Linked DNA regions of Saccharomyces cerevisiae S288C. Changing the gene in region 1 together with any one later gene gives a genetic interaction. Each region holds a gene or a part of one and is shown in the gene's direction. Other genes may lie near its edges.

Region 1 (7,582 bases):
CATTCGTCACCAATGAAACTTTGATGTCTCTTTCTAATAGAGCTAAGCTTCGAAGAAATGCCAGTGATGCGGACATCGTTAATATAAAGATTTTACGAAGGAATTCTAGGTGATATTGCAATTACTTCTTCTCATGCACTAACAAGTGAATGATAGAAATATGTTGAGTTCCTAACTGCCTGATTTTAAATAAGTTTCATATTATAATCTTTTAGCATATATATATATATATTGATCCTCTCTCTTCTTTATTTTCTGCCAGTAACCCATGTGTGAAGAAGAAAACATAAATAAAAAAGCAGTAGCACATGGACACATTCACGCCCGAACACTCCTAAAAAGCAGCCCACACAAGAAAGTAGATATAATGTAGGACACCCAGCTTGTCCATAATTGCTAATAGCATACTCAGGATAACATATATTAATGACGACTCGTTTGCTCCAACTCACTCGTCCTCATTACAGATTATTATCCCTACCTCTCCAGAAACCCTTCAATATAAAAAGGCAGATGTCCGCTGCGAACCCTTCTCCATTTGGCAATTATTTGAACACGATCACTAAGTCCCTACAACAGAATTTACAAACATGCTTTCATTTCCAAGCAAAAGAAATCGATATAATCGAATCTCCATCTCAGTTTTACGATCTCTTGAAGACAAAAATACTTAATTCACAAAATAGAATATTCATTGCGTCTCTGTATTTAGGCAAAAGCGAGACTGAGTTGGTGGACTGCATATCCCAGGCATTGACCAAGAACCCCAAGTTGAAAGTTTCTTTTCTACTTGATGGCCTTCGAGGAACAAGAGAATTGCCTTCCGCCTGTTCCGCCACTTTATTATCGTCTTTAGTAGCCAAATATGGGTCAGAGAGAGTGGATTGCCGATTGTACAAGACGCCTGCTTATCATGGTTGGAAAAAAGTCTTGGTTCCCAAGAGATTTAATGAAGGTTTAGGCTTACAACATATGAAAATATATGGGTTTGATAACGAGGTCATTCTTTCGGGAGCCAACCTTTCGAACGACTATTTCACCAACAGACAAGATAGATACTATCTCTTTAAATCTCGAAACTTCTCCAACTATTATTTTAAATTACATCAACTCATAAGTTCCTTCAGTTATCAGATTATAAAGCCAATGGTGGATGGTAGCATCAACATCATTTGGCCAGATTCGAATCCTACTGTTGAACCGACGAAAAATAAAAGGCTGTTTTTAAGGGAAGCATCTCAATTACTAGATGGCTTTTTAAAGAGTTCTAAACAAAGCCTCCCGATTACTGCCGTGGGTCAATTCTCCACATTAGTTTACCCAATTTCTCAATTCACTCCACTTTTTCCCAAATATAATGACAAATCGACCGAAAAAAGAACAATATTGTCATTGCTTTCCACTATAACAAGCAATGCCATTTCTTGGACGTTCACTGCAGGATACTTCAATATTTTGCCAGACATCAAAGCAAAACTGCTGGCAACGCCGGTTGCTGAGGCAAATGTAATAACAGCTTCCCCCTTTGCAAACGGCTTTTACCAATCAAAGGGCGTCTCATCAAATTTACCTGGTGCTTACTTGTACCTGTCAAAAAAATTTCTACAAGATGTATGTAGGTACAGACAAGATCATGCTATTACATTAAGAGAATGGCAAAGAGGCGTAGTAAATAAGCCGAATGGTTGGTCATATCACGCAAAAGGTATTTGGCTTTCCGCTCGTGATAAAAATGATGCTAACAATTGGAAACCCTTTATCACGGTTATAGGATCTTCAAACTATACGAGAAGGGCGTATTCATTAGATTTGGAATCGAATGCTCTCATTATTACAAGAGATGAAGAGCTAAGAAAAAAAATGAAAGCAGAGTTAGATAATTTATTACAATATACAAAACCTGTAACTCTAGAAGACTTTCAATCAGACCCAGAAAGACATGTTGGCACTGGTGTAAAGATAGCTACCTCCATTTTGGGTAAAAAACTTTAGATTCTATTCTATCATAGTATGTCGCCTGTAAATATGGAAAAATAAAAGAAAAAATAGTAATAATAAATGCATTATCTAAAACTCCTTAAATTTGCAAACATCGCAAAGCCATTAAGGTAGAGAATGAGCTGACCTTGTTATAGTTTTCCTTTTGGCAACCGTGGTTTCCGTCCTACGTAAACATACTGAACTTGACAAAGTATGACCAATAAGGTGACAAATTGTATCAATTTTACCCAAAAGGGCGTTGAATTAAATGGTATCTCGTAAAACAATGCATTGGTCGGTATTACCAGTCTACCTAATAAATCGATAGATTCAGCCAAAAATGATATCAATGCAAACTTTGATGATAAACCTACTGTTGAGCATCCCATCCAGTTTATACTCATTTGAGGCACATACTTGAAACATTTAAGCAGATTTGCCATTACCCACAAATAATTTATGTGTTCCAAATAGAAAACGCCAAATTTACCTGAATTTTTCAACGGTAAATTAGAGATGGAACAGCCATATGTAAATATGCCTAATACAAGGAACACACTTATAATTATTATGGAAGTAATGGAAATGCCCTGATAAATATGTTTAGTTGACCTATAATAGTATAACTGCCTTAAAACCATCATGCAGCAACAGGAAACGCAAAAATCTTTTAGAATGAGGAAACTGGATATAGGTATACTACGGGCATCATTCAACGGATAAAAAAGTGGGAATCTTTGAGACAGTTGTTCCCTCACCAGAGATGAATAACAATAATGCAACGCGCAATACAAGTACAGACCATTACCAACAAAATCTAGCAGAAATAAATCATATGAAAGCCCGTAAATAGATCGATGAAGTTTATTATAGCGCTTTTGACATAGAATGGCGATGATCTATGTAAGAAATGGAAGTTTTCTCCCTTAGTTAGTCAAACCTTTCATGTATACTTTCTCCTTCAATTATGCATACTGATAAAAAACCTGCCAAGCCCTGCAGAACAATAACAAGCATGTGAATGATTCAATATAATTGCTTCGCAGGGCTCCTCAACCTCTCCTCTGGAAAACCTTACCTCAATGAGGTTAAAAATTGTGGGTTTTTCGTTCGCAGAGGAAAAAAAAACTTGTCAAAACACGCCTCTGCAGTAGAACACGAATTATACATAAGAAAAATAACGATACAAGAAAGGCGATTTCGATTTGGGACTAAGTGTTACACGAAAGGCATAGAGTATCAAAAAAAGGAAGCAAGATGGATTACGATAGCTCTGATACAATGAACGGTGGTTCAAGTAACCCCTTAATCACTAAGATGAATACAATGAAATTATTATATCAACACTATTTGGATAAAGTCACTCCTCACGCTAAGGAGAGGTGGGCTGTATTGGGTGGTTTGTTATGTTTGTTTATGGTTCGTATTACAATGGCCGAAGGCTGGTATGTGATTTGTTATGGTCTAGGTCTATTTTTATTGAATCAATTTTTAGCCTTTTTGACCCCAAAATTCGATATGTCCTTACAGCAAGATGAAGAAAACAACGAATTGGAAGCTGGAGAAAAATCAGAAGAATTCCGTCCATTCATCAGAAGATTACCAGAGTTCAAATTCTGGTATAACAGCATTAGAGCCACTGTCATTTCCCTCTTGTTGTCGCTATTTTCAATCTTCGATATTCCAGTATTTTGGCCCATCTTATTGATGTATTTCATATTATTGTTTTTTTTAACTATGAGAAGGCAGATTCAACATATGATAAAATATAGATATATACCCTTAGATATCGGTAAGAAGAAATATTCTCATTCTTCTAACTGATATACCCTGACTCCACATACCTATTCAACGAACACATTCGTATCTTAATTATATGTAAACAAAATTATATGATAGTTACAGAATAATTGTGATTATTTTCTCCTTCTACTCATCTTCTCTTATATTGGAAGAATACATGAAGTTATTGATTAAGCAAAATTGAAGGGAAGAGGCTCATTTTCTTCCATTTATAAATGGAGAGCTTGAGATGCCTCCAATTGATAAATTTTTGTAAAGACTTTCAAGAAACATGTCTAAAAAGAATTGACAGCTTCGAACCTTTCTGCATAATTACTAATACCAAATTAGTGAGAAATGGGGTATGTCGAGGAATAAAGGATGCAAAAGAGAGAGTAATGTCATGCAAGTTGTGAGTTTGAAATGTTCACACGTTTATAATGTCCATACTCCGTGGCGTGCATGTGTTTTAGTGTATTAGTTTTCCAAGTTATTAAAGAACTTAGTAAATTTATCATCGAACGCATTTTGATTAAGTGGCACAATAGACTTCAATGGAAAATGAAAATCATATCTGTAGCAAAAACGACAGCGAAGATAACGGTTACACAATTATCACGTTGATTCGTCAACTTAAAGATGACCTTTTTACAATTTATCAATAATAATAGACAAGAAGGACAAGGTTATATTTCAGAAAAATTATTCAAAACTAAGAAGAATGAGATGATAAGAAAAACAGTTACCAATTTAGTAGCTGTAAGATTAAAAAACTTATCCCACGAATTTGATGTAATAGAGAATTATCTGCGCTATATAGCTAGCACCAGTGAACATCTATTTACTGCTATTAAGCGCCACTTTAACAAATGTGCCAGAAAACTTTTGAAAGAAGCAATCGACTCCAAATCAAACTCAGAAACTGCTACGGTGGTTCTGCAAGAAGGATTTTCTGGCATTTGCTTATTGAAAGCGTCTTCAATTATATTAAAACTAAAATTGAAGTTTCCAAAAAAGAAAGATAGAACTGATATTAGCAAATTGTGTGACAAGAAAGAACGGATGACACAGTGGTTAGAAATTTCAATTTTGATGAACTGAGAATAATAATATTATGCTCCCCTGGATTTTATGCGAAGACACTGCTGAAAAAATTTCTGATATATGCAGAGAAGGAGCAAATAAGCCAGTTTTAAGGAACCGAGATAAGCTGTTTTCGCCCATTGTTCTAGTTCTACAAAATATCTACAGGGAATCGATGAGGTTGTAAGAAATCCTGAATACTCTATGATAGTGCATAACACTAAAAAGTTGAAAGAATCCCGTATCATGGACGATTTCCTTGAACATTTGAGCAAAGACGATAACAAAGCATGGTATGGCGCGGAAGAAACCGAGAGAGCTGCAAAATTAGATGCAATAGAAACACTACTTATTACAGATAGTGTACTAAAAAGGAACGACGTGAAAAAACGTGAAAAATACCTAGACCTAATAGAGAATAGTGGAAACAACAATGGCAAAATATTCGTACTCAGTACTTCAAAAATCACAGTGAGCAACTTGACAAACCAACAGATATAGGCTGTGTCTTAAAATATACCATCCAATACCTTGATGAACTTTTCAAAGATGACTAAAATAAGTGAAATTTCAACATTAACTTCGAATTTTTTTCTTTTTATCTAACACTTGTCAAACAGAATATAAGGATTACTTGTCTTCTTTGCTACATATTGCTACCACTTCTATTACACAATAGTTTCAATAGCTTGCAGCGTAGCTAAACTCTAAAATTTATCTAAATCACTCATATAAACCGAACCCTTCCCCTTCCGCTTATAGTACAGTACCTATACATTTCATAAACATGGCATGGCGATCAGCGCCAAACAATATGGAAAATCCACAGAAAGCTATTCATTGAAAAAATAGTACAAATAAGTCACATGATGATATTTGATTTTATTATATTTTTAAAAAAAGTAAAAAATAAAAAGTAGTTTATTTTTAAAAAATAAAATTTAAAATATTAGTGTATTTGATTTCCGAAAGTTAAAAAAGAAATAGTAAGAAATATATATTTCATTGAATGGATATATGAAACGTTTACTGGTGGAAGTTTTGCTCATATATTATTATTCAATAGAAGTAATAAAGAAAAAGTTGGTAAAGCAACTTAACAGTAAAAAGGTAATGATTGAAAAAGTTTTTGAACATCTAAGCTATATGTTGATGGGTTTACAATTTTACCATTAGTACTCATGCCTATACTTTTCTGTTCGTCCTTAATGTCCGCGATTTAGAGCAATCATTGAAAGTACTAGATACATTTTAGCCAGAGAGGACTCGTTGACGTAGAATTAAAATTCAAATGAATTTCCGCCCCATTCATATACCCCAAATAACAAACATATTAAAACTTCATAATTATTCAAAATGTGGAGTAGTATAGAAGAGCAGTACCTTCAAAATTGATTTCTTCAGTTTCCCACCCGGGATCCACTTGTCATGCGGTGAGAATCGTATATTGCGTATAATCCGTGTTTCATCACCCACATTATAGTACAAACCTACTGGTGTAACCATTATCATATTCATGACTTGTAGTTAAAAATCTTTCACGATAAATTGAGGAAAAAATCACGTTAAATAGTTTCATATCATTCTTTAGTTAAAGTCTGTGCATAAAAAGAGGATCGGGTGTTGTACTCGTTCTATCAAAATATTGTTATTGTTGCATTATCACACGAATTACAATCAATTTTTTTATCTACAGGCCAGAGTACCTGAAATAATGGAATTAGATTCAAAAAGGATAGCTTAATCGGTCTTTATACTAATTATTTTACGCCCAGAACGAAACATAACGTGCATTAAATCTCACTGTCACAACATTGTATATAATGGTAGCATCGTACTAACTATTGGCATTCATTCAATATTATACAATTATCTTATTAATACTTTCTCAAGTAGTCTTGAAGACCAGCATGTAGGAAGGTGATGATATGCTCCGTAAATAATTGGAAATATTGAGATATAATAACGATGACAATACTAACAAAAGTAATAGGTGAGCTCCGCCAATTGATTGTTTTGTTTTGAATATATATTGATGCTTAACAATTTAGTCGTCAAATAGCACCTGCAAAACCTACCTCTTACAGGCTTTTTTTCAATTTACTCCCCATGTGGGAGTTCTACGTAAACCACTTAGAATGCAGTTTCTCTTCTAAATAACATGTTATATCTTCTGAAGAAATTGAAACATATTGATTCTTATGGTGAGAGCAATTTATCAATGTTTTATCTTAAGTTCTACTGCCCTTGGAAATTATGTCCTTTGCTTCCCATTTTATATGGAAGAAACAAATCAGTACAAAATGCTTGGTCATGTCATAAGCTTCATCGATTTATTGACTTCCCAACTCCTTCGGCTAATATGAATTTTTTTTTCTTTATAAGAGTTTGCTATGGAACTGTCTCGCTGTTTATTTCAACGTTTCTAAAGAAAATATCCTTTTTTATTTATGTGAACTTCACTGTATACTTTTAGTACCTTTCGGTGGATTTCTTCTATTTTACTCGATCACTTTTCTTGACTGTGCACTGTCGGTACAATCCTTATTGTATTAACTTGCGAAGAATATTTAGTCGTTCAGTAGGGTTCTTTTGGAAGAAATGCTAGCTTAACATGAGTGTGATCTCTTCTAGAATTAACTCTTTTGTTTATCCATGTAATCTGTTACCAACACATAAAATGCATTGATAGACCAAATATCAAAAGCGTGCAGGCATCTCTTATCTAACAGTAAGC
Region 2 (7,955 bases), on another chromosome or scaffold:
TATGAATTCAAGCTAACTGTATCTTTTTGGATAGGGAATTGATCTAACAAAGCATTGTTATTATTATTATTATTATTATTATTATTGTTATTATTACCATTATCTTGAGGAAATGTTGAAAGACTGTGGTAAAGATCAGGAACCATTTCACTCGGGTTGATATCTATGGCGTCCTGACACAGCTCTCTTAAGGAGTCTAAAACTTGGTTAAGGAAGTTGTTGGAACGTACCTGTATCTGACTGCCCTTATACTCTGAATCTTTCGTGAAGTTTGCCAAGATCGCCTGTTGCTCAAGAAGATTATCGTGTAGTAATTGTATGAGCGATTCCGTTCTATGCTCGCAAACGCAACTTTGCGAATGGGTCTCCAACCACCAAACAGGGACAAAGTTCTCACAGACCCGGCATAGTTCCATTTTTGGCAGAGGTAGATTGAACTCGTCTATTATCATTTCCAGTCGTATTCTCTTCAAGTACTGCACGAAGATCTTAGCGCCGAACCCAAGCGTCTTGGCGAACTCTTCGGGAAGTTGGATATCGATATCGTCGCAATTATCGGATAACTGGATGACCATGTCGTCTTGAGCGTCTTCGTTGGCATAAAAGTCTGACCAGTCGTTTGTGCGAGGCTTGACTATCCACATCGTGTGAGAGGGCAACTGTGTGTGGCCATCCCTGATTAAGATACCACGTGCTTCCAAGGTCGTTATCGTACTTTCATCGTCACAGCCTGCGCTACCTTCATAGTCGGCTGCCTTTATCTTGAACGTTATAGTGCAACTGGTGTCATCATTCATGAGCAGCATGTCTGTGGCCTTTTGAAAGACACCTTTATCTTGATCGGATCCGAGAATAAGGTCTGCAATGTACGTCGGAGAAGAGCCACTATCATCGGCGACTCCTGTGATCGTGTTCCACTGTGGAGAGCCATATCGCACCTTGCCGTCCAGTTCCAGCTCCAAGATCATACACGGATTCTTCTCTGTGGCCAGCTGCAGATATTTTTCATAATTGGAGGAAGTCAATGAGCTTGGGTTCGAATTCGATGATATCGGGGAGAGCTTGTTTATGCCAAGTCCCTCTTTCATAGCCTGAGATCCGCCTGCGGTGTTACTTCTATTGAACATCTGTCTTCCTCTACTGGGCTTATCTATTCTATCAAATGAGGCAAGAGAAAGGAAAGGGAAAAAAAAAAAGGGAAAATGCTTGATGAGTTAGGAATTCAGTAAAAGCACCCACCAGAACCTCTACAGCAGGCCTTCCAGGAGTGGTTAAGAGGATAGAGAATTCTGTATATATATATACGTCTATATCTATACAAAAAACGGCAGACAATGCAGAAGTTGAAAATGCTGTGATACGAACAACAACTTATTTTTACAATGAAAAACAACACCAAGCTGCCAAAAGCTGTATATTAAAGTTAAAGCTCCCTCATTTTTAGTAAGGACGCTTTCTTTTCCCACAAAAGGGACGAGGAAAAAAAGAAAAACCTGGAAATATAGTCACGTGACATGAATAAACAAGACCTAGGGCAATATGGAAAAAGAAGCTAGGATAAAAATACATTTATGAGGGTTGTAAGGCAAAGTGGCTCAGCATTAAGTAGGGCTAAAAAGAGTCGCAAATATACATCGTACCGAGTGATGAACGTGGTTTTGAACACCTTGTTCTCTTTTGTTCTCGCTCCCTACATTCACTATATATTAGAAGAAATTTCACCTCAATGGACAACTCGAGAAATGAATACAGAAATATGTTTTTTAGCGAAATTTTCCTTTCTTCTTGTCTTCTTGTTTTATTTAAACTTCCAAGGCTTTAACTCAGTGTCAAACATAACAACCTCCTCCTCCCCCACCTACGACAACAACCGCCACTATGGAAATGACTGATTTTGAACTAACTAGTAATTCGCAATCGAACTTGGCTATCCCTACCAACTTCAAGTCGACTCTGCCTCCAAGGAAAAGAGCCAAGACAAAAGAGGAAAAGGAACAGCGAAGGATCGAGCGTATTTTGAGAAACAGAAGAGCTGCTCACCAGAGCAGAGAGAAAAAAAGACTACATCTGCAGTATCTCGAGAGAAAATGTTCTCTTTTGGAAAATTTACTGAACAGCGTCAACCTTGAAAAACTGGCTGACCACGAAGACGCGTTGACTTGCAGCCACGACGCTTTTGTTGCTTCTCTTGACGAGTACAGGGATTTCCAGAGCACGAGGGGCGCTTCACTGGACACCAGGGCCAGTTCGCACTCGTCGTCTGATACGTTCACACCTTCACCTCTGAACTGTACAATGGAGCCTGCGACTTTGTCGCCCAAGAGTATGCGCGATTCCGCGTCGGACCAAGAGACTTCATGGGAGCTGCAGATGTTTAAGACGGAAAATGTACCAGAGTCGACGACGCTACCTGCCGTAGACAACAACAATTTGTTTGATGCGGTGGCCTCGCCGTTGGCAGACCCACTCTGCGACGATATAGCGGGAAACAGTCTACCCTTTGACAATTCAATTGATCTTGACAATTGGCGTAATCCAGCCGTGATTACGATGACCAGGAAACTACAGTGAACAAGAACACTAGCCCCAGCTTTTGCTTTCTGCTTTTTTTCTTTTTTTTTTTTTTTAGTCGTGGTTCTCTGATGGGGGAGGAGCCGGTTAAAGTACCTTCAAAAGCAGAATGCAGGGTTATTGGAAGCTTTCTTTTTTTCTTTTATGCTAGTTTTTCCTGAACAAATAGAGCCATTCTTTTCTTATTACTAAGAAATGGACGGCTTGCTTGTACTGTCCGAAGCGCAGTCAGGTTTGAATTCATTTGAATTGAATGATTTCTTCATCACTTCATGAAGACAATCGCAAGAGGGTATAATTTTTTTTTTCTCGTTATTATCGCTGTTGGTGGGTTTTTTCTTTTCATATATTTCTTTTTCGCTTAGTGGTTTCTACTGTTCTGTCTCCGGTTAGTGTGTGCTACTTCAACCGAAGAAGAAGAGGCTTTTCAAGAATGCAAACGTGAGGTTGGCGCGCCCTCCTACAATTATTTGTGGCGACTGGGCAGCGACACTGAACATAGCTCTTGAACAAGACCCTTTTTTGGCTGCAAGGAGCAAGACTGGCTGGGGTTCCACCTCAAAGAGCCACGCTCTGCTTTTTTTCTATCTGTTTGTGTCATATCTATCTGTCTATTTATCTATATATATATTTTTTTATATAAAACTATAAAGAATTCTTGATGTATGCCCTTAGGTTGGGCAGCTTTTCAACCTTAGACTTGATGCTAACGCCGCTCTGTTCCTTCTCCCGTGCTCCCGCAAGCGAACATCTCCCCCTAACTCCGGGCCAATGAGTGATAACTATATCAAATACCTTCGAAAGGACCTTAGTCATCATATCACTCTCACTCTCACGGCTCTCTGTAGTCCTCCTCGAGGAGTGGCCAAGAATGTTCTGTTCCGCAGTCTTTATATAATCGCACTGGTTGAAGACGAAAGCTCATATAATTCTTTTTCCATAGCCTAAATACACCAACGATGACTAAATCTGTAGATACGCTGCTGATCCCAGGCCCCATTATCCTAAGCGGAGCAGTCCAGAAGGCCCTGGACGTTCCCTCTTTGGGCCACACCTCTCCTGAGTTCGTCTCTATTTTTCAAAGGGTGCTAAAGAACACAAGAGCTGTCTTCAAATCCGCTGCTGCCTCGAAGTCTCAGCCTTTTGTGCTTGCCGGCTCTGGTACGTTGGGGTGGGACATATTTGCCTCGAACTTTATTCTTTCGAAGGCCCCCAACAAGAACGTGCTGGTCGTATCCACTGGGACATTTTCTGACAGGTTTGCTGACTGTCTGCGTAGCTACGGTGCGCAAGTAGATGTTGTTAGGCCCCTCAAGATAGGCGAATCAGTTCCCTTAGAACTGATTACTGAAAAGTTGTCGCAAAATAGCTATGGGGCTGTCACGGTTACGCACGTTGACACTTCAACGGCAGTGCTGTCCGATCTGAAAGCCATTTCGCAAGCGATTAAGCAGACTTCGCCGGAAACGTTCTTCGTAGTCGATGCTGTATGCTCGATTGGATGCGAAGAGTTTGAATTTGATGAATGGGGGGTGGATTTCGCCTTGACTGCTTCGCAAAAGGCTATTGGCGCTCCAGCGGGTCTTTCTATCTCGCTATGCAGTAGCAGATTCATGGATTATGCACTCAACGACAGCAAAAATGGTCATGTACATGGGTATTTTTCCTCGTTGAGAAGATGGACACCAATAATGGAAAATTATGAGGCTGGTAAAGGAGCTTATTTTGCAACCCCACCCGTACAACTAATTAATAGCCTTGATGTAGCCTTGAAAGAAATTCTCGAAGAGGGGTTGCATAAGAGATGGGATTTGCACCGTGAAATGAGTGATTGGTTTAAAGACAGTTTGGTTAATGGCTTGCAATTGACATCCGTCAGTAGGTATCCTTCTAACATGTCTGCGCACGGGTTGACAGCCGTATACGTAGCAGATCCTCCTGATGTCATTGCTTTTTTAAAGTCACACGGTGTAGTCATTGCCGGAGGTATTCACAAGGACATCGGACCCAAGTATATCCGTATTGGACATATGGGTGTGACCGCTTGCAACAAGAATTTACCGTACATGAAGAACTGCTTCGACTTAATAAAACTAGCTCTTCAGAGGAAAAAGTGATTACCCTCGTACTTTTCATTTCATATATATATATATATATATATATGTACCTATATATTCTTCTTATTATGGCTTTTCTAATTCTTGCAAGATTCTTTGACAGCTCCATCTTTCGTTTGGTGAAAATGAAACCATCCCCAGGATACAATTAATGAACTTCTGCTTGACTTTGACATCCGCAATCTCGTCCAGTCGAGGCATATTCCTCTCAACAATGCTAATCTGTACATCTTTCTCCTGGTCCAGTACATACTTGCCATCGCCATCTGCACCAAACATACCAACAAATGCATCAACCGAGCCGTGTTGCGCAACCTCTTCCCATTTCTGAATGGACGGTATGCCCAACTTTTCGAATATTGAGCAAATCAGTCTGAAATCGCTTCCATCTGAGTTCATGTCGTCGCTGCCGTCATCAATCATGGCCGGAACGTGCCCCATACGGCTTGTTTCTCTCTGGAACCACTGAGAAATAATTATCAACAACGACCACACGTCCACGCCACCATCATAGCATTTTACTCCAAAAAGCACTTCTGGGGCCTTGTAAATTCCTGTGCTTATATCCGTCACCTTGCTATCCATGGGTTCCGCACTTGTTTGTGAGTTATTTGCCATGTCATAAGAGATGCCAAAATCAATTATGTACAACTTTGGGGATACGGTGCTGGTATTGTTTGTTAGCATGATATTTTGCGGTTTGATGTCGCGGTGAATGATCTTGTTCTCATGTAAGAATGCAATCCCTTCAACCATTTGCCGGAAAAAGGACAAAGAATACCGATTGACGTCCAATTGATTAGTATATTTCTGAACGGGGGGGTCCGCAACAATTGGGATACTGGGATTTAGCAAATCGTAATAGGGATTTTTTTTTCTTCTATCTCTTTTATAGTGCATTTGCATGAACTCATAAAGGTTCATCTCTTCAAAGGGAAACAACAACAATAGGTCATTATTATCGGTAGCCTTAGACTCTAGAAGAGGTAAGATGTGCTTACATTTGTTGCCCAGTTTGTTTAATATCGATACTTCGAATTTGGCGTTATGTGGCGGGATATCGAAATCTAGTGCTAGACATTTAATGGCATATGTATCCGACCTATAAATCCTAGCAGTTCTAGTAGATTTGACCAACTGACAGTGTGTAATGTCTATACTATCCAGTTTCATTAAGATGGGCGTGAATTTTGTTGCCTCTCTTCTTCATCTGGCCTCTTTGCTTCTATGAGACTTCTGTCGTTTTCCTTTTTTTAGGATCACAAACTACTTCTATAACTTAAATAGTCAAATCACATTTTCCACTAAGATACATATTTTCTATACAGGGGGTCTTTGCAGTTATATATACTCAGTTATATACCAATCTCTTTGTCAGGAATTTGATTATCACGTTTCAACCATTCTAGTGCTAATGGATGCAAACTATTCACTTTACTAATAACAACCTTATTGTTGTCATTTTCAAAGGCCACTTGTCCATTAACTTTAGCATTGACCACTTCAGAGAACTCTACGTCTTTCTGATAATCTAAATTATCCACAATCTTACCTGATTTCATATGGTATACTTGGTTAGGCCATTTGGCCAAGCCGTCAAAAATATGTGTAGCGTAGACCACTGAGCATCTTCTGGTTTCGGTCTCCCACTTTAAAAACTCCAGAAGTCTTGCTCTGGCAATAACATCGAGATCCACAGTGACCTCATCAAGTAGTAAAACTCTCCAAGGTTTCAAGAGCCCCATGGCTAACTGAACTCTTCTCTTTTGTCCATCACTTAACCTGTGCATTCTCCAACGTACATCGATGTCCAGGATTCTAACCAATCTTTCACCTCTTTCCCTAAAATGATCGAATCCAATACTTTTTAATAGTTCCAAGACGCCGATATCCCTATTAATGATACTCATATGGCACCATTCCGTACCTAGATAAGTGGTCGTTTGGTAGTTCGTCGAATCTTCAACACTTTCATCATCGTCCACTTGATTCATAGATAATGGACTGAATGGATCAAGACCATTGACCAGGATTTTTCCATCAAGGCAAAGATGCTTACCGCTTAGTAATTTCAAAAGGGTGGATTTACCAGCACCATTGGCACCCACAACTAAAGATCTTGTATTCCATGGGATTTGAAGATTGATATCAACAACTGACGGATCGGAGCTTTCTTTGAATTTGTACGTTAGGTTACGCACCTCAATAGCAAATTGGGAAACCATCTTGAGAGTTATCTAATATCTTGATATCTTATGCAGGAGTACTGGTTTTCTCCATACTAAAAATCTCTCTTTCAGAATTTTCGTTTTTTCTTATTTGAGTCATCCTCGAAGAAATTTCCGCAGCGAATTTTAAAGAAGCACTTTATAATAATACCTTACATATGAGTTTGTTTCTATGTCATGGGTATATAAGGTATATTGTATGCTATCTAGTTGGATGCCCCAGTTTCAAAATGTCCCTAATCGGATCCACCCAGATGTGACTAACGTGGTGCAAATTTATATTTATATGTGATAAGTCTTTCAACTTTGTGGAGATCATGTAACGTAGATTGAGTACTAAACTCAACGACCTTGTAGTCCGTAATTGGTACAGGATAGCTACAATCCCGATAAGTAAAGAAATTTTGCTCCACCTGTTATATTTGGAGGGTAAAAAATGGCCAAGTCTTTGGACCAACGCCCTTGTCTTGGATCTGGCGGCGACACCATGATACTTTTCTTCCTTGTAATGCTCGTTCATCTTTGTTTGTTCGCTCAAATAGAAGATAATGGTGCTCATATCGAAGCATCCTGGCTTTCCACATGCTGTATTGAGTAATGCACTATATTTATTAAGACTCACCCGTTTCAAAGCCTTCTTGCTGGCAGTAGTCGCATCTTTTCTAGTTATTTGCAAGACTTCTTCCCAAAGCGCCTCATCATACAGTTTTTTCTGTAAAACTGTTTGTATAGCACCATGGCGCAGGTCAAAATCGTTCTCGAAGAAATCAGAATTAGCTTCTATTTGCTTCGAAATTTCAGACGCATTTTGCAATAGCAGGTTCTTGTATATGATCAAAGGTAAACGCATAGATTGCATCGATATTGTCATGTCAAATATCTGGAAAAGAATTTTATGAAGATTGTTGTCACCGCTATCTATAGGTTTCAAATTATGTGCAAAGATTGTCAATATTGACCCAATAGCGAAAAGGGGCTCATTTTCGTCAAATTTGAATAGATTATAGAATTTCATGTTTGATTCCTTTATCAATGAAGA
Region 3 (6,697 bases), on another chromosome or scaffold:
GGTGATTTTAACGGCAACATTTATGATGTGAAATAACAACTCAAAATTTTGAATTACTTCTCTCTTTATTACTAGCAAATGGAGAAATTCCTGCAGTTGTTTAGAAGTTTCCAAAGTCATTAACCCATAGTGGATTCCTTTCGTTTCATTCCTAGTCTGTGCTAAGTCATTTTTCAGGCAAACACCAAAAATCTTTTTCTTCAAACCTTCCATTCTTATCACCGTATTTGCTGTCCCTTTGTGGTCCTCACTGATTAAAAAATCTTTGTTCTATTTTTCTTATTACCTTTAATGCTTCACGAATGATGTGAATGTTTTGCGAATGATGTGATTGAATCCATCTGATCCTGCTGCGAAATCGTAGTTTATTTAGCCGCTGAACCCTTTGAGCAAGTATTTATCGTTTTTAACGTTGAAAAAGTAGTCATATTCAAATTATATAAACCAGCCAATAATACGTTACTTTGCCTTTTTAGATCACACAATTAAGCGGATACAAGATCACCCATCATAAAGGGTTGGCAAACGCCATTGTTTTTGTCGAACCTTACCTGATATCTCCAGAAATCCAATGTATATCTTCTGTATGAAAATATGAATTGTGAGTGCACATGCCTTTTCTAACAGGGAAACCTGTTGTGATTTGTCATTGAATGTGATGAAAAGCTCCTCCAGTCGCCTCGGCTTGGCTTGGCTTGTCTTGGCTTTTTTGGTTTATTCTTTCTGTCCTGAGATAAAAATTGTAGTAAATCTATACTTCTGGAAGTTTCCCGCGACGAAAATGAACGAGGAAAATAAAAAATTTCATGTTTAAAATCCTGTAATTGATTGCTCTTCCACGCACAGTAAGTTGCAAAACCAGAAGAATAACTGAAAAACCCTAAGCAATCATGTCTAGTCGCCAAGGTGGTAAGATGAAGCCTCTAAAGCAAAAGAAGAAGCAACAACAGGACTTAGATCCTGAAGACATTGCCTTCAAAGAGAAGCAAAAGGCCGATGCTGCTGCTAAGAAAGCTTTGATGGCTAATATGAAAAGTGGTAAACCTTTAGTGGGTGGTGGTATCAAAAAATCTGGTAAGAAATAAAAGGCCTTTAACAACGTCTAATAAAAATTTACTCAGTATTTTCTAGTTCTCGTTTTTTAAGTAAATACATATATTACCAAAGAAAAGCTATTTGCAAGATATATCGTTCTTTCCGATGTTTTACAATCGTAATTACTATGTATAATGGTTACATCTAGCAAATTTGGAGGTTTCCTAAATAAAGCCCCTTGCGTGTCTCTCTAGAGGTACGAAAACAACTGATATATAATGGACCCTTTTCTATTGTGGTGACAGGCATAAGGATAAATATTTATAGATGGCTAAGGAAAATAAGAAAAATACTTCTCCCTATTCATGAACCGGGCATCTTGAGTAGAATAGGGTGCTTCTATTCGTTAGTGCTGGTATTAACTTCTAGTGAAAAATGGCCGAATAATTTCCGGGTAATAAAGCCTTCAGCACAGCTCAATTAGTGGAGGAAAATATTGCCCATATATAGATTGTTACTATGTATGATGTAAGAATATCACAATTGGGCACTTAAGGTTGTGTGAAAAGAAGTGTTTGAAGCTGTTGATTCTGAACAGTAAAAGATAAACAAAGAAGAGATTAACAATGAGCAGATCCGGGAAATCATTGACAAAGTACAAAATTGTTTTTTTGGGAGAACAGGGTGTTGGAAAAACATCGCTGATCACTAGATTTATGTATGATACGTTCGATGATCATTACCAAGCCACGATTGGTATAGATTTTCTTTCCAAGACCATGTATTTGGATGATAAGACAATTAGATTACAGTTATGGGATACAGCAGGTCAGGAAAGATTTAGATCATTAATACCTTCATATATCAGAGATTCGAGAGTTGCTATTATCGTTTACGACATTACGAAGAGAAAATCATTTGAATATATTGATAAATGGATAGAAGACGTTAAAAATGAAAGAGGTGACGAAAATGTTATATTGTGCATTGTTGGTAACAAAAGTGATTTATCAGATGAAAGGCAAATCTCAACCGAAGAGGGAGAGAAAAAAGCAAAACTATTGGGTGCTAAAATCTTTATGGAAACGTCCACAAAGGCAGGCTATAATGTCAAAGCTTTATTCAAAAAGATTGCCAAATCGCTGCCTGAATTTCAAAACAGCGAGTCAACTCCTTTGGATAGCGAAAATGCAAATAGTGCAAACCAAAATAAACCGGGAGTCATTGATATTTCTACAGCAGAGGAGCAGGAACAAAGCGCTTGTCAGTGTTAGCACCTAATATTTCAGTTCTATAGGGCATAAGGAGAACTCTTTGTGTGCGTCATATTTTTTAGTGAACTACCAGCACATAATAATTGTACTGATAATATTAATAATAATCATAATCATAATGTACTTGACGATCTGATGTGTAGGAGCTAGTACTCACTAAACATGGTTGTATTAAAGAATGGTATTAAAACTTTTTATAAAGAAGTATGGAGTGTATAAAGTTATCAAACAACAACAAAAACAACAACAACGTAAAAAAAATATAGAAGAAATAGAAATGACATATTCTAGTTTTTGATTAATTGTTCAGTACGAAGGAAAAGATTAAGTAAAGTGTCACATAGAATCGAAATCTGTGTCCACATAACGGCCATTTCTCAGTAACGTCTTGCATAAGCGTGGCATAATTTCGACTTGAAGGGGCTCTAGAGGAAATTTCTCGCCATCGACAGAGAACAAGCCGTTCCCTAGCTTTGGTATTATCTTGTATGCCAAAATTTTAGAGTGTAAGACTTCCGGTTGTAAAACATGGGAACCCTTATCTAGTCCCAGCAGGATTGGTGCCATCCTCGTCAACGAGGTTCTTGCATCGGTGATAACCATATCCATTGTACCATCTGAAGGAAGCGCTGCCGGAAAGAATTTAGTGTCAGCAGCCACATATGGCATTTTACCCGTATAGAAGATACCTAGGTTGTTCGAAATATTAGGATCCAATCTTTCCCAGTCACTAGGGATACCTTCATCTAATGGATATTTTATTTTGAAATCTTCCTCTTTAATTTGATCAGCACTAGAATCTGCCAGATCACGAGATATCAAGTGGGAGTCTTCGTCATCCGCATCCGCATCTTCATCTTCATCTTCGTTTTCGGTTTCGTATTCATTTTCGTAATTGTAATTATCACAATCCTCGTTATCTTTGTTCATAGTAATATGCTGGAATTCTAACGACCCTTTATTTTTGTGTTCCAGGTAATGATTTTTTAACTCGTTTTTTGATTTGGCAGCATACTTTACATATATCTCACAAGGATATTTTTTTTTTTGTATGATATTGAAGGCTACACCCAATTCAAACCTTGCAGGTCCCATCCATCTAATAAATTCAGTGTTTATGTCAGTTTCTGCAATGAGACCATATGTTTGACTTAAAAATGATAACTTTGGGTGCTCTCTTGCATAAGAAGGCTGCGAACAACACATCAAATCAATTCTAGTCTCTATCGATTTAATTAAGCATAAAGTTGAGTACGAAGGATTGTTTGTCCAGTGGCAGGATACGCTCATTGCGTTACCTGATCCGCATGGAATTTCTGTAATGGCGATATTGTTGAATGCTTTGACATGATCAGGCCTTTGGTATAACCCATTGATCACCTCATGAGGAATGCCATCTCCCGAAGCGCAAGCAATAGTGTCATATTTGTCAATATCCATTTCCCGCGCGATCTCTATAGCATGACCAGGGTATTTTGTATAAACCACTTCTATGGAACACCGACTTGCTAATAGTAACGGCTTTGCCTTTGTCATAAACAGTTTTTTCGCCTTACCTTTACCACCAAACGGATTAATGATCACAAATATGGATTTGTTCCTTCTAGTGTTTTTGTAGCTTCTCTTTAAAATCTCCTCAACCAAGTCATCTTCTTCTTTTAAGTGAGAAGATGAATGGGGTTTATAGTCAATATACAATGAAACCCTTTTGGGTACAACGTCATGCCGTCTTGGCCTAGCAAATATAACCTCTACTAGTTTCGTAAAAGGAGATCTGGAAGTCAGGAGGCTACTACTACTGTTACTTCCTCGCGATAGCGAGTTGCCCTTCCTTTCTTTTTTTTGGGAAGACTCTAATTCATCAAGATCACACTTTTCACTAATGTTACTCATTGAGCTGCTTAAAGGTGAACTGGGTGATGAATTGGCATCATAATAATGCAGAGGTTCCTTTTCAATGTATCTGGCATCCAGAATTCGTCCATAGGGGATAACGGTGTTTGCTGGCAATTGACCATTCACCGAAGGATAATGAAGTTTTGGATTAGCAGAAAGATCATCTTTACTTGTATCCGTTGTCGATGTTTCCGATCTGTCTATTGTATCAGTATCGCTTAAACAGGTAACACAGCTAATTAGTGAAGCCGTTTCAAATATACTGTTGTTATCACTGTTGCTTTGAAAGCTAGTTCTACTGATGTTGCTTTGAAAGCTAGTTCTACTGATGTTGTCAATGCTGCTGCGACTTCGTTTATCTGCCATTCTATTTGCGTATGTGTAAGGACTTGATGGTTTTGCCTTGATCATTATTCCTTCCTCAGTCAGTATCGCTGACGTTATTTGCTTCTTCCTGGAATGGCGAGACCTGCCCTTACGTCTCTTTGAAGGTTTCAAAGTCATCTCTTTTGGCTTACTGTTTAAATCTTACACTATTTGTGGTTTTTTCGAGATAATATCAAGAGTCCTTTTACTCTTCTTTTCTTTCCTATTTTGCAACACGTATATACAACAGTTTATGCTGTAGTTATACTTTTTTGATTGTTTTTGTATAAATAGATTCGGCTCACGCAGCTTACGTTCCCTTTCTTCTTCGCCTGCGAAGGCTTTAACAAGGCCCGAAAACACCTTGATTTGCAAATCTAACTATGAATCTTGCAGAAAAGCGGTGGCAACTGAAAGGGAAAAAAACATAGATTAAAAGAAAGCAACATAGTAACATAAAGGAAGAGAAAATTTTGATGATAAAGAAGATGAATAATATACCTAATGCATCCAAATGTTCCTCCTGTTATACTATTGGGAATTATTGCGAGTGCATCCATTCGCGCAATGATCAAGTAGAACGCCAAGACTAGTTGTGCAAAGAAGTACAGTTGAAATTCCAGCCAGTTATGTCTCATCCCTATTCCACTGTTTTTGTAGGTATACAATGGTGTTACGAGCAATTGAAGCTGTTTATTGCCTGGTATTACCTCTGGAAACTTACTTTATAGCCGCCCATCTGTATATGTCATCATATACGGACCTCGTGGAATTTTCCAGAAAACCAAATGGGGAGGGTGACTTTAATTTTGCTTCGTTTTGCCCGGAGCAGAATCCAGACGGACATTCATGTATATATATTGAAGGAGACTAAGTTTTACATTCATTATGTAAGGTCGTGGTTGCGTCTTCATGCACTTCCTTGAATAATATAAGAAAATTCCCACGAGAAAACATCATAAGCAAAAAAGTTTTCAAAATGTTGAGATCATCCGTTGTTCGTAGTCGCGCTACTTTAAGGCCTTTATTGCGTCGTGCTTACTCCTCTCATAAAGAATTGAAATTCGGTGTAGAAGGAAGAGCCTCCCTTCTTAAGGGTGTCGAAACTTTAGCTGAAGCGGTTGCTGCTACTTTGGGTCCAAAGGGTAGAAACGTTTTAATCGAACAGCCTTTCGGTCCTCCAAAGATTACTAAGGATGGTGTTACAGTTGCCAAATCTATTGTGTTGAAGGACAAGTTTGAAAATATGGGTGCCAAGTTACTACAAGAAGTTGCCTCCAAAACCAATGAGGCTGCTGGTGACGGTACTACTTCTGCTACTGTCTTAGGTAGAGCCATCTTCACAGAATCCGTCAAAAATGTCGCCGCTGGTTGTAACCCTATGGATTTGAGAAGGGGTTCTCAAGTTGCAGTTGAAAAAGTGATTGAATTTTTGAGCGCCAACAAGAAAGAAATTACCACATCTGAGGAAATTGCTCAAGTAGCAACCATTTCTGCCAATGGGGACTCTCATGTTGGTAAGTTACTAGCTTCAGCTATGGAAAAGGTTGGAAAAGAAGGTGTCATCACTATCAGAGAAGGTAGAACATTGGAAGATGAACTTGAGGTTACTGAAGGTATGAGGTTTGATCGTGGTTTTATTTCTCCATACTTCATCACTGATCCAAAGTCGAGCAAGGTGGAATTTGAAAAGCCATTGCTATTGTTGAGTGAAAAGAAAATTTCTTCCATTCAAGATATCTTGCCAGCTTTGGAAATTTCCAATCAAAGCAGAAGACCTTTGTTGATCATTGCTGAAGATGTTGACGGTGAAGCTCTTGCGGCTTGTATTTTGAACAAGTTGAGGGGTCAAGTTAAGGTTTGTGCTGTGAAGGCGCCTGGTTTCGGTGATAATAGAAAGAATACAATTGGTGATATTGCAGTCTTGACGGGCGGTACTGTTTTTACTGAGGAGTTGGATTTGAAACCAGAACAATGTACCATAGAAAACTTGGGTTCTTGTGACTCTATTACCGTTACTAAGGAAGACACCGTTATCCTGAACGGTAGTGGTCCAAAGGAAGCTATTCAAGAGAGAATTGAACAAATCAAAGGCTCCATCGACATTACCACCACAAATTCATATG
Region 4 (10,153 bases), on another chromosome or scaffold:
GCTGCTGAAGAAATTGATCCAAAGAAGAGAGTTATCTTATTCATTGGTGACGGTTCTTTGCAATTGACTGTTCAAGAAATCTCCACCATGATCAGATGGGGCTTGAAGCCATACTTGTTCGTCTTGAACAACGATGGTTACACCATTGAAAAGTTGATTCACGGTCCAAAGGCTCAATACAACGAAATTCAAGGTTGGGACCACCTATCCTTGTTGCCAACTTTCGGTGCTAAGGACTATGAAACCCACAGAGTCGCTACCACCGGTGAATGGGACAAGTTGACCCAAGACAAGTCTTTCAACGACAACTCTAAGATCAGAATGATTGAAATCATGTTGCCAGTCTTCGATGCTCCACAAAACTTGGTTGAACAAGCTAAGTTGACTGCTGCTACCAACGCTAAGCAATAAGCGATTTAATCTCTAATTATTAGTTAAAGTTTTATAAGCATTTTTATGTAACGAAAAATAAATTGGTTCATATTATTACTGCACTGTCACTTACCATGGAAAGACCAGACAAGAAGTTGCCGACAGTCTGTTGAATTGGCCTGGTTAGGCTTAAGTCTGGGTCCGCTTCTTTACAAATTTGGAGAATTTCTCTTAAACGATATGTATATTCTTTTCGTTGGAAAAGATGTCTTCCAAAAAAAAAACCGATGAATTAGTGGAACCAAGGAAAAAAAAAGAGGTATCCTTGATTAAGGAACACTGTTTAAACAGTGTGGTTTCCAAAACCCTGAAACTGCATTAGTGTAATAGAAGACTAGACACCTCGATACAAATAATGGTTACTCAATTCAAAACTGCCAGCGAATTCGACTCTGCAATTGCTCAAGACAAGCTAGTTGTCGTAGATTTCTACGCCACTTGGTGCGGTCCATGTAAAATGATTGCTCCAATGATTGAAAAATTCTCTGAACAATACCCACAAGCTGATTTCTATAAATTGGATGTCGATGAATTGGGTGATGTTGCACAAAAGAATGAAGTTTCCGCTATGCCAACTTTGCTTCTATTCAAGAACGGTAAGGAAGTTGCAAAGGTTGTTGGTGCCAACCCAGCGGCTATTAAGCAAGCCATTGCTGCTAATGCTTAAACTCACCCAATGACCGATATATTGTGTTTCTATACTGTGTTTGTTATATATAGTTTACCTTTTTTAGACAAAAAAACAGAATTATATATTATCCTTATGTTTTGTTATTTACTCGGAAGCACACAATTGCCCACCACACAAAGGAGGTGGAGGAAACAATTAATTTTTCACACAAGAGGTATATATTTGGAGAAAAATGAAGAATGAGATACTTTTCTTCCGATTACTTAAGTATTACGGCTCTGAAATTTTCTCGAGCATTAGATGATTAAATCAAAATGACATAGTATTTCGCAACCTTTCAGTTGGGCTTTGTTTAAGAAGTGGAATACTTTTGCTTGAGTTGTTTAGTTTTATTTTATCCACTGTTGTCTTAACAAATATTTTCAAGACCGGTAAGCCGAAGATGAAAAATCATTATTAACTCATTTTTTGAACAAAAATATAAACAAAAGAAAGGCAACGCACAATTTTAGAGATACATAAAACGCAGTGGATGTTAAAAATAACAGCGGTACAGAAACGCCTGTCTCGCTCCAATAATAATTATACAAATTTGAAACCGAACGCAATGTGCCAAGAAATGTAAACACACTATAGAAAAAAATAGAACGGTGCACATTGTGCTAGCATATCTGCTTGGTTCTGAACAAGAAGCACCTGGCCACTTTCTCCTAGCCCAATTCTTGCCAAGTTTTCAACCTCAATCTTTTGTGTTTGAACAAGCATGTATGAGGGGTCAAAATTTAGTGGAGGCCGCTTACAATCCTTCTATTTCCTCTGGACCTCATTAGCCGTCTGGCCAGACCTAAGCGTCATAATCTGGAGAATTTCATTGCATGCGAGAATATGATAAGTAAGAACTTGTTTATTTATACAAGTTCCACCCACTCATACACGGCTACAATTATGACGTATAATAACGTTTCGTCTAGCCCACCTTTTTTACTTTTGACGTTTTATTTCTTTCGAGGATTTGGCCAAGAATGCCCCGAACAGCGGAAAAAATGGCGTCGCAGTTTCAGATGTATAGACTCATCTTGTAGAAAAAAGAATGCAAGAATGAAGTCTTTTCGTGGTGTTTTGAAAACACTATAAACAAACCGTCAACAAACATTTTGTATAAATATTTAGCTATATATTGAATATCTTGACCAGTAAAGCACCTTGAGAAATTGTAAGCTTGAAGAACGTACTTTGATATCCCTCCGTTTCATCATCCTATAGCTCGTCAACAAATCAAAAAAAATATGAAGATCAGTCAATTTGGCTCTTTAGCTTTCGCCCCAATTGTGCTACTACAACTGTTCATTGTTCAAGCGCAACTTCTCACAGATTCAAATGCTCAGGATTTGAATACTGCCCTTGGACAGAAAGTGCAATACACCTTTCTTGACACTGGAAATTCTAACGATCAACTACTTCATCTTCCAAGCACCACCTCTTCCAGCATTATTACTGGTTCATTAGCTGCTGCTAATTTCACCGGTTCTTCATCATCGTCGTCTATACCAAAAGTCACTTCCAGCGTCATAACATCTATAAATTACCAATCCTCAAATTCTACGGTAGTCACCCAGTTCACGCCATTGCCTTCTTCGTCGAGAAATGAAACAAAAAGCTCTCAAACAACTAATACTATAAGTTCAAGTACAAGCACAGGAGGTGTAGGTTCAGTCAAGCCATGTCTTTACTTCGTTTTAATGTTAGAAACAATCGCTTATTTGTTTTCTTAAACAAATATATTAGGTTCAAGGTCTTCGCAGGTGTAAGAAAACCCGTGGTCTCCATATTCTTAAGTATGATAAATAAAAAAAAACTTAATAAATTATTAATTGCTTCAAACCTTTTTCTTTTTTTAGTTTTTAATATTTCAAACGTTATCTTCATTGAACGCCCAAATAGGGAAAAATCCTGGCAAATTTTTTATTGCTGTCATCCAAGGCTATGCTAGAAAATTCAAGAGCTTGGATGATTTAAAAAGACACTCTCAATCGAGAAAGTTTATTCTTTGTTATTCTGCTTTACCTGATCATATTCCGGCGTATTGTTTCTAATCAAGTGATTTCGATATCCAGTTACGAACCATTTACAACATTCCTGAAAATATTGCGTATCAATGATATTTGCTCCTTCTTTCTCCCTCATTAAAAATATTCTCCTGGTAAGCTTTCTAATCAGCCACAGTTTTGCTGCCAAAACTTTAACGTCTAGTTCCAATGACGATACACTTGCCAGGTCCGCAGCTGCAGATGCAGACATGGCATTCTTCATGGAGTTTTTAAACGATTTCGACACCGCTTTTCCACAGTATACCTCATACATGATGCAAAACCATTTAACCCTACCTCAACCTGTTGCTGACTACTACTATCACATGGTTGATTTGGCCTCAACAGCAGATTTACAATCTGATATTGCTCAGAGTTTTCCGTTCACTCAATTCCAAACATTCATTACGGCCTTTCCATGGTATACCTCTTTGCTAAACAAAGCCTCCGCCACCACCATATACCTTCCCCAACACTTCATAACAGGTGAGACAGAAGCTACCATGACTAACTCATCTTATGCCAGCCAAAAAAACTCCGTTTCCAATTCTGTTCCTTTCTCGACAGCGAACGCAGGCCAGTCCATGATTTCCATGGCTAATGAAGAAAACAGTACAACAGCACTTATATCCGCATCAAACTCTTCTTCAACATCCAGAACTAGTCAATCACAGAATGGTGCCCATGCCAAAAGCTTATATTTCCCCATGGCGTTGTTCGGAATCTTTGCAGTTGCCCTTTAAGTGCCTCAACCAAATTTGACAATTTAATTCCATGGGAGGTCCGCCATCCCTTTTCGCTTTTTTTATAATATGTGTATTATTTATACAAATATGTATATAAGTATGTACTTTTTCAATGGACAATTCGATTTTAAGAGCGTTTTTAGTGACAACGATGAACATCAACTTTGTACAGTATCAAACGATTTATTTTTAACATATTATTATAACTTCTGAATGGCGTTGCCATCTTGGCCAAAATCTTGTCTTTTCTGTCGTTTTATGGCAGGCTTTTGTTCTTTGATGTTAATTCGGCAATACCGACGCCTTTGATGTTCATCAAACAGTCTGAAAAAAATACACCTAAATGCCTCTACAAAAAAAAAGGTAAGGTAAGAGTGTTATTGACCGGAAGCTGTAAGAAACTGAACACGTGGAAAATGCACTTATGGCCAGTCAGTCCGCCCCAATTGCTTAGAATTCCACCCCGCAACGCCGAATTAGGTGAGGGTACTAAAATAGATGATTGCAATATTCTTCAATCAATGACACTACCCCAGGCCAATGTTCTTATCATGCTAACCCCAACAAGAGTGCTCATTTACAACTTCAAACCAATGGCACTAGTAGCTAGCCATGAACGAACAATGGCTTCTCTTAAGGAATTTGGCGATAACAGATCAATGAAACGATCAGCTCCATATAATGATATCATCGAAGGGCTTATTTCAAAAAAGGACTCGCAATACTTATTGTGGCACCAGGGAAAGCTGATATTTTACGTAATGACTGATAAAAACTTCCTTTTAACATACCAAATTTTAAAAAACTGCACAAATGAAATAATTTTCAAAGAATACGGCATACCCGTCATAGAGCCTCTTTTAATGAGTGAAGAAGAAGCGAACAGTGCTGAATATGACTATAACAACGATGATGATACTCTCACGGTATTTGATAAAAATAGTTCTTCAAGAATTATACAGAATGGATTTGGCATAACTAAGGAAAAAGGGTTTTTACACTTTCTTTCTAATCAAGAAAACATTGATGAACTCCCCGTGAAAAAACTAGAACTTCGTTTAAAAGTAGTTCTTAAATTTGACTATGAAATCATAGACATGATTGGCATCAAGACATTTTCCAAAGTCGGGGATGGGCGTTATGAAGAAGTTTTGATAGTTTTATTCCCTCATGGATTACAAATACTTACAATATCGGATTTTAAAGTTAGCAAGAGCTCGTTGGTTGAAGTGAAGAAGGGATCCAAGACAATTGTGTGTAATAAACAATTAATGGTTTTATCTCATGATTCCGTCGAAAAGCAGACTATTGTAAGCATTATAGACATTGAAAAGCAAGCTGTTGAAGCAATACCGTTAACGGACACACCAGATGAACTTTTGACTTGCCTAGAAGTTAATGGATACCTGGTGGTCGTTTACAAAGAAAAAATAATCTGCTTTGATACAAGAATTAAAAAAGTAAGCCATTCTTGGAAACCACCATTTGTGATAAAACTTTGCGATAAAATTAATGATAAAATATTACTTTTGGTTTCTGAGGATAGTGTTAACATTCATTTTTACACAGAATTTGGGAATCTGCTATTCGCTACATATTTTGACGAAGATGATTATAATGGTGATAACAATAATGACAACAGCAAGGATAAAAATGAGAAAAAGGCGGCTGAATATAAAATTTCTGATTTTGTATGCTTGGATAAATCACTAATAACAGTGTCTCATTCCGGAAAATATCAAGTTTGGAAATTATGGGAAGAAATAAAACAAACACAATTTGATTTCAGAAACCCAAAATGTTACGTATTAACCAATACGAACAATGATGTAATCATATATTCACCTGTGACAAGTTCTTCAATCAATAATGATAATTTACAAGTCATAAAACTTCCTACAAAGACTTTCAATAATCATATTGCTTTTGTAAAAATTAATTCTTCCTTGAGGTTATTTGCTACTTATGTGTCGAACAAAAACATACTGCTTATCCACAATCTAGAGACCAATATGTGGTCTAGTTTTGCTGACCAAAACGTGTTGGATTTACATTGGCTAGGTGATAATTATTTGGTTTGTCATATGAAGAATGATGATGGCTCAACAAATCTGAAATGTCTGCAGATTCCACTGCAAGAAGCGAATCCGGACGTGGAACTATCAGATTATGTCATGTGGGAATACAATGTTCCAGAGAATACGATTGTTTTCAGTTTACATGTTAATACTTTATCCCGGTATAAGTTGTTGAAAATGAAATCCAAGAATCACAATGCTTCTGAAAAACAACCTGATGCATTGCTTAAAACTGCCGAGATTATTTTAGTTACTGATACACAGACAATTGTCTTCGATGTAATTTCTACTGTACATCCATGTGGATTAAACATCATCAAAAAATTCTACCAGTATCTCAAAATTAACATTCCAATTGATGTTTTACCCAACAAAATTGAGTGGATAATTAACATGAAGGAGGGCTTGTTATTTTTTGCCGATAGGAAATTTATAAAGCTTGGCAAAGTGGATGGAGGGGGCTGGCAAACCTTAACTTTGTTGGATAACATAGAAAAAATAATCGATGTTATCAGGGACGAAATATTTGTAGTTCAAGGCCATAATTACGTCGTATACTCTTTGGAAGATTTATGGGATGATAAAAAGCCACTAGTTTCCATTCCAATCGAAGAAGATTTGTATCCAATATCAACCACCCCAGAAACAGCTACAACACATACACTTCACTGCATTTTTAACGCGCGATTTTCCAAATTGGTGGTGAAACACCAAATATACCTCGACCAATTAATCTTAGCCAAATTAGAAGACAACACAGATTTGGAGGATATTTCACACAATTATCGTTTTTTAAAGCCTTACAAATTTGCACTCGAAAAGATTTTGTCTACTAAAATACTGCGAAGCGACTCTTTGGATGATATCCTGAAATTAATTAAGATGTATGACAACACCGATCCTGAGCATAATATTTCACCACCAACCCACAGTGGTATGTTAGAAATTATTAGTAATTGTTTAAGGAAGATCGAAACTAAATACTGGAACCATCTATTCACTAATCTAAAGATGACACCAAGAGATTTATTAGCACTCTGTATCGAAGAAAATGAGGCTAAAATGCTTGGCGTACTTCTGTTAGTGTTTTTAAATTACGATGAGAAAGATTTGGGAGATGATCTACATTTTAAGAAATCAGATTTAGGGACTGAGGAAAGCAAAGCTCTAAATGATAACTCTACAAAAAAGTCAGAGAAATCTGTCACTAATTTATTGAAGGATGAAGAATTAATGCTTAAAGTCTTAGAGCTTTTGGTGACAAGTGCTGCAAACGCCACAGACCCAATTAAAGCTACCGATTCGTGGGACATGTGTTTCCAATTAATACGCTTACTCAAGGAATTAGACAGAGAAAACAACACACAATTGGTTCAAAAAGCACTCGAGAGATTCAAATAAATCTATATGACACCATGTATTCTTTACCATATAGCTTCATAACATTGACCAATCAATTTTCAGAAATGCGTCGCGCGTAGTTTTGCCCGATATCCCCATCCCTTCAGGATCTTTAAAAGGTGATGAAAGATGCACCAGATAGAAAAGTTGCATTAAAATGATTAGCAGAGATATACAAATATTTTAGTAAGAATACATAAAGTATCTTTGCTTTCACAAATAGGAACAAGCACATAAATACAGTATAATAGACATGGCTGATCAAGAAAACTCTCCACTACATACAGTTGGTTTCGATGCTAGATTTCCCCAACAAAACCAAACAAAGCATTGTTGGCAATCTTATGTGGATTATCACAAGTGTGTTAATATGAAGGGCGAAGATTTTGCTCCGTGCAAGGTCTTTTGGAAGACCTATAACGCCTTATGTCCCCTAGACTGGATCGAAAAATGGGATGATCAAAGAGAAAAAGGTATTTTCGCAGGTGATATCAACTCAGACTAAGGATCTTAGTTTCGTTTTTAGTAATGTGCACTTAGCCTTTTTTATATCATTATTATTAATTACTAGAATTCATTTTTGCGTAGTAGACCTACACGGGATGAAGGATATCTATATGAAAAGTAAAGTAACAATAGGAGATAATGAAAAAGTGATATCATACGCTAACGAATGTTCATGATGGAGCCAAATTCCTAAAAATCAAACAAACAGAAAAAAATGAGAATGATGTGGGGTACTGAAGTTTTATTTTTCATATTTATTTTTAATTATAGTAAGTAGCCATTTCTATATATATTCAAAAATTATTTGACCCTCGTAACATCTGCCACTGCACTGAAAAGAACAAGGCAATGGATAACGCTGATAAAGACGTCAGCATGAACTTTCAATTCACTGAGATAGCAACATTTTCGAGGATTATATAAGGGGTACTAATCTCTTCTAGTCATCGTTTGAAATACATTCAGGCTGAGAAAGATAAACGCTGAACATGTTGAGAATAAGGCACTTCCTGGGACCTACTAAAAGATAATAATATAGTATTTGAAGAGACCTTCATCAACAGCCTGAGATCGGCACACATCCTTCACAAGCGCCCCAGTTCCAGACTGAAGTACACATTTCTATCTCTTACAGTCACTACTTGCGATTGCTACTACTAAACGAAATGATGGCTGATTTCTGAATGTCAATTCTTTACTTATTGTTCTATCAGGCTAGAAGGATAGTAACATAAACTTCTAAAGTACCTTTAAAGAGCCTCAATGCACTGCCTTAACAAGCAAATGACAATTTTCCTATCAATTGTTTCACGAAATACGTTTGTCGTAATTTTACGCATTACAGGTCAGAAGGAGACTAGATAAGGCCGATTCTCCGAGTACTGTTGAACCACAGGCTTCAGCAAGTGAAAACCAACAGACAAAACAAGGAAAACAGCAAGATTAACCGTTTATATTTGCTTCTACTACCTCAACGGAGAATGGAGCAGGCCTTTGAAAACGCTCCTACTTTTGAAATTGCCTTTGTAAATATTGTATCTCCAGCCGCGCTTAGCTAAGTGGATATCACTAGATTAAAAAACACTCTCGAGCTACCCTATGAAGACAAGATTCATCCATAAACTCCCTAAGTGGGTATCCATTAGATGCCAACTACTTCACTCATGCAATACATACAGCAATTGCAAGACTTGTGATTTTAATCCAAAAGAAACTTCCCTGGGTGTCATGAACCCAATCAATGGCCGTAACTCTTCGTATGGTCAGTTTATAACTCTCAATCACGTTTCCTCGCTCATACCCTAACAGGTACGACTCCTCTGATCATATAGAGGGATTTTAATGTTTCTGATTTGGGAAACATTCAATTTTTCTCCTGACAACCGTTTAGTGTCAAACATTGGATATTGCCCTCGTTCAGAGGGCACAGAATAAAATTTGATTTCTGGTTCATTTTCTTGGCCAAAGATTAATTGAAGTTGTCAAGGCATGCCAAAACTTCCTTTAAAGGTATCATCCCTGTACCGAACATTCCTGTGCTCCTGTATATATCATAATAAGATATAGGTAGTACAAAGGCGCGGATCCGTATACGAGATCTATAAAAAAAGCATTGTTGAAGAAAGGGCAACTGCATATTTGTAGTGGTGAAGAGTATGGGATAGGGGAGCCCAAGTAAGAGAAATATCAGCAGTGAAATAGCTATTCAACAATTTATCTGTTCGTCCGTCGCTTATTAAAAAACGGCATATAAATAGAGCAGCTTTGATTAACTCTTTCCGACAATTTGGCATTGTTATTTACATTCGAGTGAGCTCACATCTTCACTAAAAAGATCTACAAAAGTTCAATCGAAAAAAATGGTCAAACTAACTTCAATTGTTGCTGGTGTCGCTGCTATTGCTGCTGGTGTCGCTGCTGCCCCAGCCACCACTACTTTATCTCCCTCTGACGAAAGAGTTAACCTGGTCGAATTAGGTGTCTACGTCTCAGATATCAGAGCTCATTTGGCTGAATACTATATGTTCCAAGCTGCTCATCCAACTGAAACTTACCCAGTTGAAATTGCTGAAGCTGTTTTCAACTACGGTGATTTCACCACTATGTTGACTGGTATTCCCGCTGATCAAGTCACTAGAGTCATCACTGGTGTCCCATGGTACTCCACCAGATTGAGACCAGCTATCTCCAGCGCTCTATCCAAGGACGGTATCTACACTGCTGTTCCAAACTAAGCCGATGGCCTCACAATTGGTATTTAGCACTGGATTG

What was found.
Region 2: mutations in RER1 (region 1) and HAC1 together harm fitness more than expected from each alone (negative genetic interaction), as found in Saccharomyces cerevisiae (5 studies listed by BioGRID, with this or other methods).
Region 3: mutations in RER1 (region 1) and YPT6 together harm fitness more than expected from each alone (negative genetic interaction), as found in Saccharomyces cerevisiae (5 studies listed by BioGRID, with this or other methods).
Region 4: mutations in RER1 (region 1) and RIC1 together harm fitness more than expected from each alone (negative genetic interaction), as found in Saccharomyces cerevisiae (5 studies listed by BioGRID, with this or other methods).

The regions. Positions count from the first base shown.
Region 1 is NC_001135.5:108,679-116,260, forward strand, and holds RER1 (protein retrieval receptor), read left to right. Parts: upstream 1-3,237; coding exon 3,238-3,804; downstream 3,805-7,582. Other genes in the region: LDB16 (Ldb16p), read left to right, coding at 1-113; PGS1 (CDP-diacylglycerol--glycerol-3-phosphate 3-phosphatidyltransferase), read left to right, coding at 427-1,992; YCL002C (uncharacterized protein), read right to left, coding at 2,130-2,879, 2,956-2,997; YCL001W-A (uncharacterized protein), read left to right, coding at 4,402-4,863; YCL001W-B (uncharacterized protein), read left to right, coding at 5,092-5,346; YCR001W (uncharacterized protein), read left to right, coding at 7,007-7,321. UniProt on the Saccharomyces cerevisiae protein: Involved in the retrieval of endoplasmic reticulum membrane proteins from the early Golgi compartment. Required for correct localization of SEC12, SEC71 and SEC63 in the endoplasmic reticulum.
Region 2 is NC_001138.5:73,301-81,255, forward strand, and holds HAC1 (transcription factor HAC1), read left to right. Parts: upstream 1-1,878; coding exon 1,879-2,539; intron 2,540-2,791; coding exon 2,792-2,847; downstream 2,848-7,955. Other genes in the region: protein kinase RIM15, read right to left, coding at 1-1,127; AGX1 (alanine--glyoxylate transaminase), read left to right, coding at 3,531-4,688; cyclin-dependent protein kinase-activating kinase CAK1, read right to left, coding at 4,755-5,861; putative ATP-binding cassette family ATPase CAF16, read right to left, coding at 6,044-6,913; GTPase-activating protein GYP8, read right to left, coding at 7,119-7,955. UniProt on the Saccharomyces cerevisiae protein: Transcriptional activator involved in the unfolded protein response (UPR) pathway. Recognizes and binds to the UPR element (UPRE) in the promoter of UPR-regulated genes such as KAR2, PDI1, EUG1 and FKB2.
Region 3 is NC_001144.5:663,856-670,552, reverse strand, and holds YPT6 (Rab family GTPase YPT6), read left to right. Parts: upstream 1-1,661; coding exon 1,662-2,309; downstream 2,310-6,697. Other genes in the region: RED1 (Red1p), read right to left, coding at 1-213; TMA7 (Tma7p), read left to right, coding at 891-1,085; VPS63 (Vps63p), read left to right, coding at 1,990-2,316; sphinganine kinase LCB5, read right to left, coding at 2,646-4,709; chaperone ATPase HSP60, read left to right, coding at 5,551-6,697. UniProt on the Saccharomyces cerevisiae protein: Protein transport. Might participate in post-Golgi transport.
Region 4 is NC_001144.5:222,648-232,800, reverse strand, and holds RIC1 (Ric1p), read left to right. Parts: upstream 1-4,204; coding exon 4,205-7,375; downstream 7,376-10,153. Other genes in the region: PDC1 (indolepyruvate decarboxylase 1), read left to right, coding at 1-411; thioredoxin TRX1, read left to right, coding at 788-1,099; NFG1 (Nfg1p), read left to right, coding at 2,350-2,835; AFB1 (Afb1p), read left to right, coding at 3,219-3,893; COX12 (cytochrome c oxidase subunit VIb), read left to right, coding at 7,629-7,880; seripauperin PAU23, read left to right, coding at 9,742-10,116.